Linked DNA regions of Arabidopsis thaliana. The protein of the gene in region 1 interacts with the protein of each later gene in a biochemical or structural test. Each region holds a gene or a part of one and is shown in the gene's direction. Other genes may lie near its edges. The genes, in order: SOS1 and SOS2.

The links.
Region 2: of the proteins of SOS1 (region 1) and SOS2, one has a biochemical effect on the other in vitro, tested with the Arabidopsis thaliana proteins (one study listed by BioGRID).

Annotation. Positions count from the first base shown.
Region 1 is NC_003071.7:454,357-464,182, forward strand, and holds SOS1 (sodium proton exchanger, putative (NHX7) (SOS1)), read left to right. Parts: upstream 1-2,645; 5' UTR 2,646-2,713; coding exon 2,714-2,939; intron 2,940-3,042; coding exon 3,043-3,093; intron 3,094-3,171; coding exon 3,172-3,263; intron 3,264-3,343; coding exon 3,344-3,421; intron 3,422-3,516; coding exon 3,517-3,674; intron 3,675-3,756; coding exon 3,757-3,858; intron 3,859-3,947; coding exon 3,948-4,065; intron 4,066-4,144; coding exon 4,145-4,197; intron 4,198-4,283; coding exon 4,284-4,349; intron 4,350-4,450; coding exon 4,451-4,495; intron 4,496-4,645; coding exon 4,646-4,698; intron 4,699-5,182; coding exon 5,183-5,367; intron 5,368-5,479; coding exon 5,480-5,524; intron 5,525-5,611; coding exon 5,612-5,719; intron 5,720-5,934; coding exon 5,935-6,166; intron 6,167-6,243; coding exon 6,244-6,543; intron 6,544-6,724; coding exon 6,725-6,822; intron 6,823-6,905; coding exon 6,906-7,037; intron 7,038-7,119; coding exon 7,120-7,338; intron 7,339-7,424; and 9 more. Other genes in the region: AT2G01970 (Endomembrane protein 70 protein family), read right to left, coding at 46-86, 312-463. UniProt on the Arabidopsis thaliana protein: Acts in electroneutral exchange of protons for cations such as Na(+) or Li(+) across plasma membrane. Involved in Na(+) and K(+) homeostasis.
Region 2 is NC_003076.8:13,632,799-13,640,791, forward strand, and holds SOS2 (Protein kinase superfamily protein), read left to right. Parts: upstream 1-1,600; 5' UTR 1,601-1,819; intron 1,820-2,117; 5' UTR 2,118-2,134; coding exon 2,135-2,299; intron 2,300-2,385; coding exon 2,386-2,448; intron 2,449-2,546; coding exon 2,547-2,618; intron 2,619-2,703; coding exon 2,704-2,811; intron 2,812-2,908; coding exon 2,909-2,983; intron 2,984-3,051; coding exon 3,052-3,231; intron 3,232-3,355; coding exon 3,356-3,445; intron 3,446-3,548; coding exon 3,549-3,671; intron 3,672-4,182; coding exon 4,183-4,302; intron 4,303-4,530; coding exon 4,531-4,647; coding exon of another isoform or gene 4,648-4,662; exon of another isoform or gene 4,663-4,865; coding exon 4,866-4,922; intron 4,923-5,009; coding exon 5,010-5,084; intron 5,085-5,168; coding exon 5,169-5,264; 3' UTR 5,265-5,577; downstream 5,578-7,993. UniProt on the Arabidopsis thaliana protein: Involved in the regulatory pathway for the control of intracellular Na(+) and K(+) homeostasis and salt tolerance.

The DNA of each region.
Region 1 (9,826 bases):
GTGAAAAACCACACATAACAGAGACAACATTGAGCGTGCTCGTACCTGGAATACAAAAGGGGAGATCGAAATAGCGATACGTCTCACTGCAACAATCATCAAACACAAGTAAAAATCAGTCATATAACAATGCAATCGAAGATCTATCACATTTTAAGAACACGAATCGAATTTTTTCAAGGTCAGATACAAAAATTCAATACCAACGCAAGCTTCTACAGAAATTTGCAACGATCAATTTATCACTCATCAAAGAGAATCACAGATCTAAGCTACCGACAAAGGAACTGAGATTAGAGAATTGGATTTACCTGGGATTGTGAAAGGGGCCGACCTTGTTGGCGTAGAGAGGAACGGAGTCACCGTCCTTGTAACGGTGGTCGGAGGCATCGGATCTGACAGTACCGGCGCCGGAGAAGATGAGAGCTCCGATAAAGAGGAGCAGCGTCGTTGGTAATCTCATGATGATGTGTGTTAATGTGAGAGGAAGAAGAAAATCGTGAGATCTGAGTTTGCTTTATATTTTTGAGAGCAACGCTTATGGCAAAAGGACGATTATATTACTTTTATTTATTTTATCTCTCTTTTTAACGAATTTTCTTCTACTAAATGCTTAAGAAAAAATATTGCGAATAAAAAGCATTATGTAAGAAAATAAAATCTGCGACATTTTAATATTTTTTTTAGAAATTGAAATGATTATTTTTATATATTTTATTTTTGGTTGTTTTCTTAAATCTTCTAAACAAAATTCGTATTAATTCACAAAATTTTAAATTATTTAATACGTTTCGTAAGAAACTTGTGAATGGCAGAGGCAAGTGATATAAACTGAAGCAAATAAAACTTTCTATAATCGATATTTTTTGTTACAATTGTCGTTTTTTTTTTAATAAGTAGCAATTTTCTATTGGTAGAGTGATTCTCTCGTTCTTGTGCTTTCTACTATTTATAGGAGTTTTATTGCATTCCATGTGACTATAACAATCAGTAATGTTCTTTTTACTCTTTAACAAAATCATGATGATGAAGATACAAATAAAAAGGTGGTCAAAAGAAAAAAGATCAATAGTGCCTCGTTTTTTTTTTTCACAATAGTATCTCGTTTATGAAATTGATTAAAGCAAAGCAAGTAAAAAGTATTATCAATTGGAATATAAACCAAATTTTTTGTACATAAAATGAATGATGTAGTAATTTATATACCTGATTATCTTAACTAAACTCAATTTTTTGCAACCAAACCAGATAAATAAGAACACTATAAAATTAAGATGTTAATTACACAGACAATAATTTTATTTATTTATAAAGTTTATTTTTGTAACAGCTCTGATACTTATTGATTTTGCACCTTCTTTGATGGTGGTGGCGAATCATACACTCATCAGCGACCATGATATGTAATCCATCAACGAGTTCTCTCTGAATCTTCTCGCCTGGAACCAGTTTTCCAGAGCATAAACATAAGCCTTAGAACAAAACAAACATCTACTATCCCCTGAACTACTAATGATAGAGTAATCAATGTAAACTCTTTTCCTATTGTAGAATTTACCATTAGACAAATTATTATGCATGTTGTTAGCATCTCTACTCTTGAAAAATCTTCGTAAGCTGATTGGAAAATCAAAGAATAACAAACTAACTAACTAACAATCACTACTCTATAAGCAAATCTTGAATACCAATAGAGATTCTTTATGTTGGATTCTATCTTTGAGCATTTCATTAGGATCGACGGTTGGTCGATTAATCAATACTAACCCAAACAGTCTTTTAACATGCACACTTGATACCTTGTAGGTGCTTCTGGGTAGCATGAAAATGATAATTGGTGTTATTCTGATATGCGAAATTGAAAATGTTGTTGTGCATCAGCTAAGCATAATTGAAAGTTTAAAAAATATTATAAATTTAACGTGAAGAATTGAAAGGTATCAGATTAATGTTTTGGATCAGCCGAATAGAGTCAGGCTAATCCAAATTCTCAAATATTTTCGAAACCTTAAACACATCAAACTCCACGAAGTAAACACACTCACACACATATCAAAATCCACATTATAAATGTATTTTTGGTAGGCTAGTCGTCTAATTCTAAAATAGCCAATTTACATTTGCAATTGTTTATTCAAAAAAGTACAACAGTAAGAGGTCTTATCAATTAAATCATAAGAAAAATATGTCCCAAAATGTCAAAAAACCAACTACGAATATTTCTTTTCCTTTTAAGGCCAAACCAGGTTTTGGAATACTTATTACAAATAAACTCAATTTCAATAAATTCTTGTACACAAATTAAGCACTAATTTCATTGTGAAGATACCATAGTCACATTCACATCTATATGACATCAATCTATAAAATCCAAAACAAACTATATATTATATTTATATTATTTTTTTGTCATCATTATATTTCCATTAATTTATCTAATTCTGGTTCTAATATACTCTTGGTCAGAAAAAATATAAACATTGAAGAATTGGTCGGCTGAAAATTGTGAAAAATATATAGCAGAAAAATATGATAATGTTATCATAAACAAAATTAATAGTAAAATTTAATTTTAATTTAACACTACAGTACTATACACGTGTGTATGTATAGCTCTATAAGTATTTACTCTCTTTCAGCTATTTATTTTTTCAGTGAACGAGCATTCTTCTTCTTCCTCTGTGTTGTTGCTTCTTAGATATATTCAAATAAAATGACGACTGTAATCGACGCGACGATGGCGTATAGATTTCTGGAGGAAGCGACCGATTCGTCTTCTTCTTCTTCTTCTTCCAAACTAGAATCTAGCCCTGTCGACGCCGTTCTCTTCGTCGGAATGTCTCTGGTACTCGGTATTGCTTCTAGGCACTTGCTTCGTGGAACTAGGGTTCCTTACACTGTCGCTCTTCTCGTTATCGGAATTGCTCTTGGATCTCTCGGTTCGATTTCGTTCCATGGAATTTCTGATTTCTTCATCTGTTTTAATCCTTGAAGTCAACGTAATCATGCTTAATTGCTAATTCATGTTGTTTGGTGTTTCAGAATATGGAGCTAAACATAACCTTGGAAAGATCGGCCATGGAATTCGTATCTGTAAGTTTTTAGTTTCGAATTTTTCTTCTCTTCCATGGCTGGCTTTGTAAGAACTATAGAATCAATGTTATTGTGCAGGGAATGAGATCGATCCAGAACTTCTTTTAGCTGTTTTTCTTCCGGCTCTTCTTTTCGAGAGTTCGTTTTCAATGGAAGTTCACCAAATTAAGGTTTATTCCTCTGGCTCTAATTCCTAGTTAAGCTTAAAGGTTAAGAGAAATAGGTACTGAATACTTGCATGATTCTTTAGAGGTGTCTGGGACAAATGGTGTTACTTGCTGTCCCTGGAGTTCTTATTTCAACAGCTTGTCTTGGATCGCTTGTGAAGGTATGAATTAGCCTGGTTGGTATTAAGTAGCTGTCCTGAAAACAAAGAAAGACAAATCGATTATTATGTTATGAAACTATACTTGCTATATGCAGGTCACGTTTCCGTATGAATGGGACTGGAAAACGTCCTTGTTGCTTGGGGGACTTTTAAGTGCTACTGATCCGGTTGCTGTTGTTGCTTTGCTAAAGGAGCTTGGTGCTAGTAAGAAGCTAAGCACCATAATTGAAGGGGAATCCCTGATGAATGATGGGTAAATGACGTTATCTTCTGTCATGGTTTGGTTAGTTTTGACATTTATGCTCACTCTTCATGATTTTTAACAACAATTCCAGGACGGCGATTGTTGTTTTCCAGTTATTCTTAAAGATGGCTATGGGGCAAAACTCTGACTGGAGTTCTATAATCAAATTTCTGCTTAAAGTCGCACTTGGAGCGTATGTCTTGATCTTTTTTCATCTGTTGTTAGTGATATCAAGTTGCTGCTGTGTTCTTATCAGTCCAACGTGTTCTTCTGTCTATTTAGTGTAGGCATTGGTCTGGCGTTTGGCATTGCATCAGTTATTTGGCTCAAGTTCATATTCAATGACACTGTAATAGAGATTACTCTTACAATTGCAGTGAGCTATTTCGCATACTACACTGTACGTCTTTCTGTAGACCTTGAATTCCTGTGCTAAGATATTCTCTTTGTAGTAAAACTGAGAGTTTATTGTGTGACAGGCTCAAGAGTGGGCTGGGGCTTCTGGTGTTTTGACGGTCATGACTTTGGGCATGTAAATTTCAGTGATCTCGTTATTTTTTTTTTCCCTTTCTTTTGTTATCATTTAAGAAGTCTCTTCTCATAAAATAACTGTAACAGGTTTTATGCTGCATTTGCAAGGACAGCCTTTAAAGGTGACAGTCAAAAAAGCTTGCATCACTTCTGGTATTTCCAGAACTTGTGGAATTTGGACTTGTTTTTTTATATTGTAACTCTATGTAAAAGGTTGATCTGTGTGATATAAATTTTCCCGGTAACTTGTGCAGGGAAATGGTTGCATATATTGCAAACACTTTGATATTTATCCTCAGGTAAGGGTAAATTTTATAGACTCATATCATGCTTGTGCTTGCCAACCCTAAAATAGAAGCTCATGGGTAGAAAAAAGAGCTATTTTACTGCAGTCTACTCTTTAGCCTGGTGTTGCAATATTGACTGTGTTTCTCGTTTTATGTTTGCAGTGGTGTTGTCATTGCTGAAGGCATTCTCGACAGTGATAAGATTGCCTACCAAGGTGCCATTATTTAATGTTGATAGTGTACAGTATTTTTTTCCTAGCTAAAGTAAATTTTGTGAACATAGTTTTGTCTGCATTTTCGACAGTTCACTGTTAATTGAAGATGAGATCTAAGTCATTACATAGGACTCCCACCTGTTATCATAGTTTTCTGTCGTTGTTAACACACCTTACTGTTCATGGTCTTTGGTTCTCGAAGGATCACTAATTCCATAACGTGAATCAGTTACAAGAATAAGAAAAAAACTGGCATTATTGGTTACGAAATATTGAGCGAAAGTTACCACTGTGCTAGGACTGAGACAATTGTATTCTTTCACCAGTCTGTTATTATTATTAAGTACCTGTTAGAGATGTACTGTCTTGGAACCATATATTTTTTCTCTGGAACCATATCTGCATAAGGCACATGATATACTTAACTTTAACTATTTTTTATATTTTGGATCTAACAACTCTTCACGACCCAAATTTCTTACAGGGAATTCATGGCGATTTCTTTTTCTGCTATACGTTTACATCCAACTATCGCGTGTTGTTGTTGTTGGAGTTCTATATCCACTTTTATGTCGTTTTGGCTATGGTTTGGATTGGAAAGAATCCATTATACTCGTATGGTCTGGTTTGAGGGGCGCAGTGGCTCTTGCACTTTCTTTATCCGTGAAGGTTAATTTTAAGAACATCTGTTAAAGTTGTTCTTCTCTCTTAAATTTCTGCACAATGTTTTTTTCCAGCCACATTGATTCTGTGCTGACTTACTCGCACTCATTTGATTCAGCAATCAAGCGGAAATTCACATATCAGCAAGGAGACTGGAACATTGGTAAGTTAGTCTAAAGATGTTATTGACAACTTAAAATGATTATGCAAATTATTGTTTTGTCTCTTCATATTCTCAGTTCTTTTGCAGTTTCTTTTCTTCACGGGTGGAATTGTGTTCCTAACTCTGATAGTTAATGGATCCACTACCCAATTTGTTCTACGCCTTCTTCGCATGGATATTTTACCAGCCCCCAAGGTCAAAAACTTCTCTCATACGAATAACTTTCCGAGTTTTAAGTAATCAAATATATGTGTAAACAGAGATTTTTTTGCTTATGCTTTGTATTCATGTGTAAGTGACCGTGTTAGCCTGAGTCTGAGCCTTTAAGCTGTATAGTTCAATAGGGTCTGTATGTTCTAGTCAGTAATGTATTCGAAGAACCTTATTAGAAACCACTTTCCTTTTGACAGAAACGAATATTGGAATATACAAAGTACGAAATGTTGAATAAGGCCTTACGAGCGTTTCAAGATCTAGGAGACGATGAGGAGCTAGGACCTGCTGACTGGCCTACAGTTGAAAGTTATATTTCAAGCCTAAAAGGTTCAGAAGGGGAACTAGTTCATCATCCTCACAATGGCTCTAAAATTGGAAGTCTTGACCCTAAAAGTTTAAAGGACATACGTATGCGGTTCTTAAATGGTAGTTATGATCATGTACCCTCCAATATACTATTTTACCTGGTAGATTATTGACACTTTGAAAATTGGTTGTGTCAGGTGTGCAAGCAACTTACTGGGAGATGCTTGATGAGGGCAGAATATCTGAAGTTACTGCTAATATTTTGATGCAGTCAGTGGATGAGGCGCTTGATCAGGTTTCTACAACTTTATGTGATTGGAGAGGTCTAAAACCACATGTCAATTTCCCAAATTACTACAACTTTCTTCATTCTAAAGTTGTCCCACGCAAGTTGGTCACATACTTTGCTGTCGAAAGACTAGAATCTGCTTGCTACATTTCTGCTGCGTTTCTTCGCGCACATACAATTGCACGACAGCAATTGTATGATTTTCTAGGTATGTACAATCCATACTCTGCAGTCTGCATCACACTTTGAAAACAATGACTAAGAATAAAACTTGTACCGTATCATCATTAATTGTCAGAGTTTTTGTTTGCAAGTATCTCAACTTAGTAAGAACAATACATTAACCCAACCCTAGTTTTGTCTCATACTTATCTATCTTCTCTACACAGGGGAGAGTAATATTGGTTCCATTGTAATCAATGAAAGTGAAAAGGAAGGAGAGGAAGCAAAAAAGTTCTTGGAAAAAGTCCGATCTTCATTTCCTCAGGTTGAGAGTCTTGTCATTTCTTTCGGGTGACTTATCTTTCTTGCGGTGAGGCACATATAATCTTTGATTAACATTGGTTTCAGGTTCTCCGTGTTGTGAAAACAAAACAAGTAACATATTCAGTGTTGAATCATTTACTCGGTTACATTGAAAACCTCGAGAAGGTTGGCTTGTTGGAGGAAAAAGAAATCGCTCATCTTCATGATGCTGTCCAGGTACCAAATTAAAGAATCTCATTCCTTCAACTATAGTCTTGTCTCTTTTGTCTTATGCTTTTGGTCAAATCTATCTCTGCAGACCGGCTTGAAAAAGCTTTTGAGAAACCCTCCAATAGTTAAACTTCCAAAATTGAGCGACATGATCACCTCACATCCGTTATCGGTTGCTCTTCCTCCTGCATTTTGTGAACCTTTAAAACACTCGAAAAAAGAACCAATGAAACTGCGTGGTGTCACGCTTTATAAAGAAGGTTCAAAGCCAACTGGAGTCTGGCTTATTTTTGATGGCATCGTTAAGGTAACCCAAAACTTATCTTTTACTTTTAACTCGTAAGTCTGTATGATCTATTACCTTCATAACTGAATGTTATAACAATCCTACAGTGGAAAAGTAAGATCTTAAGCAACAATCACTCGCTGCATCCAACTTTTTCTCACGGTAGTACATTGGGACTCTACGAAGTCCTCACTGGGAAGCCATATCTGTGCGACTTGATTACAGATTCTATGGTTCTTTGCTTTTTCATTGATAGCGAGAAAATTCTATCACTACAATCAGATTCTACCATCGATGATTTCCTTTGGCAGGTACGTCTCTATTAGAATCCATTTTAGAGAGACTCATTTCTTGATTGTTAAGTTGCTTCAACTTTTTTCGGTTTTTTTTGTTTGCAGGAAAGTGCATTGGTTCTTCTCAAACTCTTGCGTCCTCAGATATTTGAAAGTGTGGCAATGCAAGAATTACGAGCCCTTGTTTCAACTGAAAGCTCGAAACTTACAACATATGTGACGGGAGAATCAATCGAAATCGACTGCAACAGCATTGGTTTATTATTAGAAGGATTCGTAAAACCGGTTGGTATCAAAGAAGAGCTTATATCATCTCCCGCCGCATTATCACCTTCTAACGGGAATCAAAGCTTCCATAATTCATCAGAAGCTTCAGGTAATTAATTGCACAGTACAGCAGGATCAAACCTTTTTAAATGTCAGCGAATGATATAAATCGAATTAAATCAAAAATGTGTTTTGTTTTTTTGACCACAGGTATCATGAGAGTCAGTTTCTCACAACAAGCAACACAGTATATTGTTGAGACGAGAGCAAGAGCAATCATCTTCAACATTGGAGCATTTGGAGCTGATAGGACTCTACATCGAAGACCATCTTCGTTAACACCACCACGTAGCTCAAGCTCTGATCAGCTTCAGAGATCATTTCGTAAAGAACACAGAGGTCTCATGAGCTGGCCTGAAAATATTTACGCCAAACAACAACAAGAGATCAATAAAACGACATTAAGTTTATCTGAACGAGCAATGCAACTCAGCATTTTCGGCAGCATGGTAAAAAAGATCTCAATGTTGATTCTTTTAAAGGTTGTTATCGATGAACTTCTCGACTAACCTGAAGGTTTTTATCTTCTGATATTCTCGAATATAGGTTAATGTGTACAGAAGGAGTGTAAGTTTCGGTGGGATCTATAATAACAAGTTACAAGATAACTTGTTGTACAAAAAACTTCCACTAAACCCAGCTCAAGGTCTCGTTTCAGCCAAATCAGAAAGTTCAATTGTGACCAAGAAGCAGCTTGAAACCCGTAAACATGCGTGTCAGCTTCCTCTGAAAGGGGAAAGCAGCACAAGGCAAAATACGATGGTTGAATCAAGCGATGAAGAAGATGAAGATGAAGGAATCGTTGTGAGAATCGATTCTCCGAGTAAAATCGTTTTCAGGAACGATCTATGAGAATTGAGATGTTTGTAACATAAGAAAACAAAATTGTTAGCTTACTCTTACAGTTTTACTCATTCAAATGTAAAAGCAAAATAATAGTAATAGGCAAAAAAGAAAGAAAGAATAAGCTAGTGTATGTTGATAAAAGTTGTGAAAATCATTTAAAGTTATTAGAATGTATATGCAATTCTGCTTATATTTTCGAGTTGTTTTTTTCACTCAACCGATCAATTGTTATCTTTTCCCTATCTATCACTCGTAATGTAATAAATTTGTTTTTTTTTCTGGGTAAAAGTTTAAAACTATATCTGCCAATTTGAAAACAAAATTCGTATAATATTCGTTTATTCATATTTACATAATCAGTGTTTTAAAAAGCAGTTTAGGCGGACCTAGGCGCAAGACGCTGATGCGACGTCTAAAATCGTGTAGTTCGCCTAAAATCGTTTATACCTTTAGTTTTCAATTAAATTTATATTTATATAAATAGTTATAAAGATTCATATAATGTTTGATATAGTTAAATAAATATTTTTTCTAATTTTTGTTTATGATTTAATATATGTATTTTTTTTAGATATTTATATATAAAATTACATTTATAATATTTATATTATAAATGGTTTAAACGTCTAAAATCGCTTAGATCCTGATCACCACCATGTCTAGCGTTTTCTTAACATTGATCATAATATTTCTCCACTTTCTTTATTTCTTTGGCTACGGTCAATTTTCTTCTTTAATAAGTGGGCTAATAATTTTTCTGTATGTTGTCAAAAAGAAAACGTTGGACCCCGACTCCACTAATAAGGTCAAAACTTCAAAATTCGCATAAAATCTGTAACTATCCAACTAAGCTTATATTGCCACGGTTCGTTAAATACTTCACTCAAGACAAACATTCGAATGTTTTCATTACGATTTCAATAATAATTAGCTGATGTGGAAGTTTCAAATTGTAAACATATCTAATTAAGTCTCACATATGTTGGAGGTTAGTTGACATGTGAAAGATCATCCAGTTAATTCTAAAGTAAAAAGTATGGCTA
Region 2 (7,993 bases), on another chromosome or scaffold:
GGGAAATTATGGATTTACGTTTTTGGCGGGAAAATCTCGGGTTTACGTTTTTGGTGGGAAAATTACGGGTTTACGTTTTTGGCGAGAAAATTATGGATTTACGTTTTTGGCGGGAAAATCTCGGGTTTACGTTTTTGGCGGGAAAATCTCGGGTTTACGTTTTTGGCGGGAAAATCTCGTGTTTACGTTTTTGGCGGGAAAATCTCGGGTTTACGTTTTTTGCGAGAAAATCACGGGTTTACTTTTTTTTGCGGGAAAATCACGGATTTATGTTTTTTGGTGGAAAAATTACGAGTTTACTTTTTCTCAATTTCATTGCTTGTATATTTAAGAAATTTGGAAAAATATTAATTTTATTAAATTGGTTTAGATGTGTTGGTTAAACCTAAATTGGCATTGGTTTAGAGATTTTAGTTGGTTTTATTCAATTTTACAAAATTTGATGGGTTAATTGGATAAACCATGGAAACCATTAACCATTACAACCTAACTCATTTTACTCATCAAACCAATTGACTCATCAACTCATTTGACTCATCAACTCATTTGAGTCAAAAATTTCAACTCATTAGGGTTCATGGGTTGAGTTGAGTTGAGTTGACCCATGAATTTTGACCCATTTTGACACCCCTACATATGATCATAAGTTAATAATCAAAAATTACTATTGATAACTTTTTAACGGAATTGTTTTGTAAGTTTCATTTACGTTATTTATATAAAAAAACATAATGCAAAAGTACTAATGTATAGTTATTTTTATTTTTAATAATGCAAAAATATTACTGTAATACTTTTTCATTCTTATCAATATTTTTTCTTATATTCAATTAGCCACCAACACCTACATTTCATATTTCTCTTCACATTCATTATTTTCTTGCTCTTGTATTCCTTCTTATCATCTTCATTGCCAATTTTTCATTGACATTGTCATCGTTACTTTGTATGTATGATTTTTGAACATTTAATGTGAATCCCAACCGACTATAGGACTATCAAGAAGTTTTCAAACTTTTTAAAAAAGATCTTGAACCTTTAAAGCAAATCCCAACCGACTATAGAACCATAGTCCTCTTCCTTGTTGATGAAGCTCTTCTCGTGCCGGCGAAAATCTAGGCCATAAAAGCCTCTTCAACATCACCTAGTATATTGACCGTGACCATCTTTTTGACCATTGCTTTGTGAATGAACCGTCGATAAACCGTGTTATCACTTACGCCAAATTTTTCCCTAGTGTTTGTTTCCAAACTCTCACGAATCCTTATCGAACTTTTTTATATATCACTTTGTAGCATTGGAAAGTATCTTTGTATGCTTTGTCTTAAACTTAGACATCCTTGTTCTCTTGGTTTTTTTGAACCTTGCTTGACTTAAATGAAGTTAAAAATTTGTAGTTAAAAATAGAAAATTTTACTAATTTGAGTTCGATTAATCATAGTCTAGATAATTTGAAAAAAATTAAAATAAATTTTGAAAATACTATATGTTTATTTTTTAAAAATAATTTACTAAATTGATAAGTGATATTAGATTAGTTTTTTTTTTCTTTTTTAAATTTTGAAAACCTCACAATTATTAAATTGAAAGATTCAAAATGCAATGTTAGTTTTTAAAAGTTTAATCACCCAAACGGATAATTGACCCGAACGACTAATTCAGGTCGTATACGGGTACAGTCAAATAACCCGACCCGAAATGCTCAACGGATCTGCACGGACGTTCGCATCGACGATTCACGGCTTTCGCGAATCGCATCACGAGCCTTCCTTCTCTCCTACGCCTCTTTCATCAACCCTTCTCTGCGAATCCAATTCTGGTATTTCACGATTCTCTTTCGACTACGCCCAATCGCAATTCCAGCCGTACGAATTTTATATATTGATTATGATCTTGATCCTTACCTTTTCGTCGTTTCCTTGATCGAATTTATGTTGATTTATGCTGCGAAATCAAAATTATGGATACAGAGTAATTTTGTATATATGGATGTGTAGGAGCTAAAATTAGCAAACAATACGTAAAGTAATTGAAATCGAAATCATAAACGTTTAAGGAAAGAGGTTTTTACTAAGTCTCTGAATAATCTGATTGATAGCTTGTGGTCAATGGATCAGATAAAAGTTTGTAAAGAATGACAAAGAAAATGAGAAGAGTGGGCAAGTACGAGGTTGGTCGCACAATAGGTGAAGGAACCTTTGCTAAGGTTAAGTTTGCGAGGAACACAGACACTGGTGATAATGTAGCCATCAAAATTATGGCTAAGAGTACAATACTTAAGAACAGAATGGTTGATCAGGTATGTTCTGGATTGTTTTTTACATGGAAACTAAGGTTGTTGCGTCAATGGTATGATCTTTGATTTCGTTTAAAGCTCTTTTACAGATAAAAAGAGAGATATCTATAATGAAGATTGTTCGTCACCCGAACATAGTGAGGTTGTATGAGGTATGTTTGTTTGTTTCCATGCATCTGCGAAATTTTATCTCTGAAGTGTTTTTGCATCATTGTTCTTCTGTTGTTTTTTTGTGATTTTCCCGATGTAGGTGTTGGCGAGTCCTTCGAAAATATATATAGTTTTGGAGTTTGTGACAGGAGGAGAGCTCTTTGATAGAATTGTACGGAACTTCCATACTTGTAGGCAGCGTCCATTAGTTAAAACCTCTCTACTTAATTTTTTAATATATGAAATCTTTCATGCAGGTTCATAAAGGGAGGCTTGAAGAAAGTGAGTCTCGGAAATACTTTCAACAGCTTGTAGATGCTGTTGCTCATTGTCACTGCAAGGGTGTTTACCACCGTGACCTAAAGGTAAAGACGTGTTTTTGTTTACCAATATTCCTCAGAATATCTCACTGCGTTGCAATCCAGACTTGATATTTTTGTGTCGCTATGTTATGTTATCTAGCCAGAAAATCTTTTACTCGATACAAATGGAAATCTGAAGGTTTCGGATTTCGGACTCAGTGCATTGCCTCAGGAAGTAAGTGCTCTTATCTCTGCTTCAGCAGTCTGCTTACGTGGTCATTAACTTGTTATATACTCAATCAGGGAGTAGAACTTCTGCGTACCACATGTGGAACTCCGAACTATGTAGCTCCAGAGGTACTTAGTGGACAGGGTTACGATGGTTCAGCAGCTGATATTTGGTCTTGCGGGGTTATTCTTTTCGTTATATTGGCTGGATATTTACCTTTTTCCGAGACGGATCTTCCAGGGTTGTACAGAAAAGTAAGTAACATATCTTTCGGGAAGAAATCATGAATTCCTTGTCATGGCTTTTGTCAAACCGTTTATTGATTTGGTTTTGCAATTTCACCCTTAGTTTTGAGCTTTTACACATTGTTATTTACAGATAAATGCAGCAGAGTTTTCTTGTCCACCGTGGTTTTCCGCAGAAGTGAAGTTTTTAATACATAGGATACTTGACCCCAATCCCAAAACAGTGAGTATTTTGCTTTGTTCTCTCCTAGCTATCAGGTTTTGGTGATATTTAATGTTCTAGTAATTATATCTGTTTATCTATTATTGTTTCTCAATTAGAGCAGCGTATTCAAATTCAAGGAATCAAGAAAGATCCTTGGTTCAGATTAAATTATGTGCCTATACGAGCAAGGGAAGAAGAAGAAGTGAATTTGGATGATATTCGTGCAGTTTTTGATGGAATTGAGGTTTGTGCTTCGCCTTCATTATATGCTCTTTGCTGGTCAATTCCATTTAAATGTTAAGATCTCTTAGGAACGTTTGGATGACCAAGAAGAAGTGTTTGCTACAGGATAGAACAAAATAGTAGGCATGTGTTAGTTACCAAACCTGTAAACTGCTTCTTTATTCAATTCGCCAAACCATAGACCTTAGGAAGACTTAGATTTACAAGAGAATTCTCTATTCTCGACCAAAAACCCTAGACAAAATCCAGAATACCCCTAGGGCTAATTACAATGTTCATGTACCTATCAATATATATCTCCTGCTAAGATTGTCTTAGCTTTGGTATAGCCTAGATATATATAGATACCGTAATTTCTAATGCATATTTAGAATGTTTTACTTAAACTCAGGCTCTTGCTCTTCTAAAACTTGTACTTCAATTGTTAAACTAAAACCTCAGTATCTGTCTTAGCTAAAGTTACTTTTACTTGTTTTTCATTAAGTTGACCTGTCAATTGCACTTGTTCACAGGGCAGTTATGTAGCGGAGAATGTAGAGAGAAATGATGAAGGGCCCCTGATGATGAATGCCTTTGAGATGATTACCTTATCACAAGGCTTAAATTTATCTGCACTATTTGACAGGCGACAGGTAGTACCTGATTTTCTATTACTGGTCATAGAGATCTCCATTTCGAATAAAAGAATGTCGGTAGCATCTATTCTTCAGACTGCCCGTTTTGACTGCCTTATGATGCTGTGTTCTTAGTTTGTTATAATAACTATAAGTTCATTAGATGATTGGTTGCATGGCATTAGTAGATACAAATGGAATCCAAAATGTTCCTGCATATTGATGGCTGATCCTTTGATCTCGCAGGATTTTGTTAAAAGGCAAACCCGTTTTGTTTCTCGAAGGGAACCTAGTGAGATAATTGCTAACATTGAGGCTGTAGCGAACTCAATGGGTTTTAAGTCTCATACACGAAACTTCAAGGTAACGAATTCCTAGCATATTACACTTATCACAGAGATTATGCATTATTTTAAAACTCTCAACTGTTAAACGCATGTGTAGATAGATTGATAAGATTGACAAGGAAACTTAGTTTATATCTCTGGCGTTCAAAAACGAAAGTCCTAGTGTGAATTATCATTTTTAATGTTAGCAGAGAGTACAATTGTTATGATTTGTTACGTCTATGTGCTCAACAGACAAGGCTCGAGGGATTATCTTCGATCAAGGCCGGACAGTTAGCTGTTGTGATAGAGGTAATTATTGCTTGTTGTGATTGTAATATAAGTTTGCTTTGCTTCAGTTTAAGGGTATCTAGCAAATTGAAATTAACCTACATGCAGATTTACGAGGTGGCACCATCGCTTTTCATGGTAGACGTAAGAAAGGCTGCTGGTGAAACTCTTGAATATCACAAGGTTTATAAATATATATCCAATAACAATAGTTGCATCATTACTGTGTTGCGGATTAGAGTGATATTTTGTTTTGTGGTATCGCAGTTCTACAAGAAGCTATGTTCGAAACTGGAAAACATAATATGGAGGGCAACAGAAGGAATACCAAAGTCAGAGATTCTCAGAACAATCACGTTTTGATCCCAACTTAAATCCAATAAAAATGTACACTTGTGTAATAAATGACCTAATTATTCTTCAGGGAGATTGGAAGATTTGCTTCTTGAGCTAGTATTCTAATTTGATTGTGTCTTGTAGTTTGCTTTGGCCATTGGTTTGGATCCCTCTGTTCTCTGTGTATGGCAATACTTCTCAAAACTTGTCCTGCGAAGACATGTACTAACAAAACACATCCAATATGAGTTTGCTTACTAGACTACATGAGCTTTATGCCTTTATTTAGTCAAGACTATACGAGTTTAAGCTAGGCAGAGCATTTGGTTTGGATTCTTTCGATAGGGTTTTGTCGGGTTTTTTTTTGGGATTAGAGAAATTCTACCCAAATTAATTAAACTAAATTATGGTTCTTTTTGGTTATATTTTACTATATAAACCTTGATTTTTAAAGTCGCTAACTCATATGATCATGATACATGTAATATCATTTCATAACACAAACATCAATTCATACATAACACAAGTCTCAATCTAATACTCAAATTAATATCGTTATTTTTGTTGGTGTCGAATCTCGAACTATGTGTTCGGATCCATCCGAAGCTTGCCACCTAAAAGTCAACAAGACAACGGTCAACGGGACATGCTCTCGACCGAAGCCCATAGTTGAAGCCGAGCGAACCGAAGAGTTTGTACAACGGAGCGAAAAGGAGATGAGTTTGAGAATGGGTAACGGGCCGAGCATTCGGAGGCCCATGAAGGGTTCAAAGGAATTCAAATGAAGACGTTACAACATTGATTAGAGAATCAAAGCGAACACTTTTAAGAGCGCTTAGTACATTAATTAACAAATTAATGTAAATTATAAATATGAGTCCCTTAAAGCATAAGGGGGTACATTGATTTCTTTCTAAATATCTAATATTATACTATTTTATCTTCATATCTTTGCATGCATTTTGATAATATATACAAAGTACAGTATATACACTTGTATTATTTTTTTAAAAACTAGATGAACATACATGCATGGGTTTTTGTTTTTAAAATTGTTGGAAAAAATTTTGGTTATGGTTTTTTGTTGATTTTGATATTCATTTTTTTTTTTCCTTCTAAAACCTTTATTAGTGACGAGTGTCATAATCATTGTTTACAAGAGACATCAAAAATACAGGACAAGAATGATACAAAAGACCAGAGATTTGGACCTAAAATAGCTTTTTTCGCTAATAGATCGGCACAGGCATTTTGTTCACGATGGGTGAAACAGAATTTCGAGTTTATGAAACCACTTCTCCAATGTTGTATTGTCCCCATGTAGTGTTTGAGTCGAAGATGAGCACCGTACGTATTAATAACTTGGTTGATGGTTTTATTATCCCCTTCGAATATTACGTTTCGGTATCCTAATCCCCACGCAGCCTGTATTGCCCAGATAAGTGATGTACATTCAGCTTCTTCTATCGTATTTCGTCCTTCAAATTGTCCCATACCACAGTCCAACACAAAGCCATTGGAATCACGAATTATCCAACCAAGTCCTGAGGCTCCAGCTCCTTCATGATGCGACGCATCATAATTACATTTCACCCATCCCCTAGGTGGTGGTAGCCAGTTATCTCTTCTTGTTCTCTGTGTGTGAGGAGCCGGAATTGTGTTCACTTGTTTAATGACATTCTCAATCCACTCCTGAGTGTCCGTTGTTGCCAGTTCGAGCGTCTCCCGTGCCGGAATAAGCTTTTTGTTGAATATTAGATCATTACGGCATTTCCATAATCTCCACATAATCCAAAAAGGGAGGTACCTGTGTAATTCATCGACATTCCTATCGTCGTGAATCCTAAAGAGGTACCTTAATTTGTCTTCCAGGGGTGTTTGCGAGTTACATGGTATGGTGGTGTCTAGGCAAGTGGTCCTCCATACCGCTTCCGCATGCGGACAGGAAAAAAAGATGTGATTCCCTGTTTCAGCTTCCGTGCAACAGTGTGCACGGTATGGATTGATGATGATGTTCCGTCGCCTTAGGTTATCGGCAACCCCGAGAGCAAGCGAAGCTGTCCTCCACAAGAAATGCTTCAATTTGGGGACAATGTTTAGTTTCCATAAACGGTCGGCAATATCAGGGTGTGAAGATAGCGGCAGAGTGATAGGTGGCTCACTTGTGCTCTTTGTTGCTGCTACCCAATATCCTGATTTGACAGTGTAGCAGCAATCCTTTGTAAAGCTCCACACATATGAGTCATGTGCTGGTATAAGGGGTACATATATTTTCCGGATAATTGGATGGTCAATCGGATCGATTAGTGCGGTGAGTTTCTGTTCATCTCATTGAGATGTAGTCGGACAGAGTAAAGCCAAAACCGTTGTTTTCGGGTCCGTCGTTGCTAATAACAGAGGTGGCCGGGGTAGAGTGGTTGGTAGTCACGGCTCATTGCCCACTTGGGTTGTGTAACCATCTCCAATGTTCTTCTGTGTCCCGAGATTCAACAATTCACATCCAAACCGAAGGGAACTCCATCCATAAGACGGTCTCGTGCCTCGTGACGCACTAAGGAAATTCCCATGTCGAAAGTATCTGGCTTTAAGCATTCTATAGAGCAGACTTTGTGGTCTTTGTAGCAGTTTCCATACCTGGCTTGCAAGTAGTGCTTGGTTGAATTGGTACAGGTCTCGGAATCCTAAACCCCCTTCTCTCTTTGGTCTTGTCATTTTTTTCCAGGAAACCCATGACAGTTTCTTTTTTGTTGCCGTAG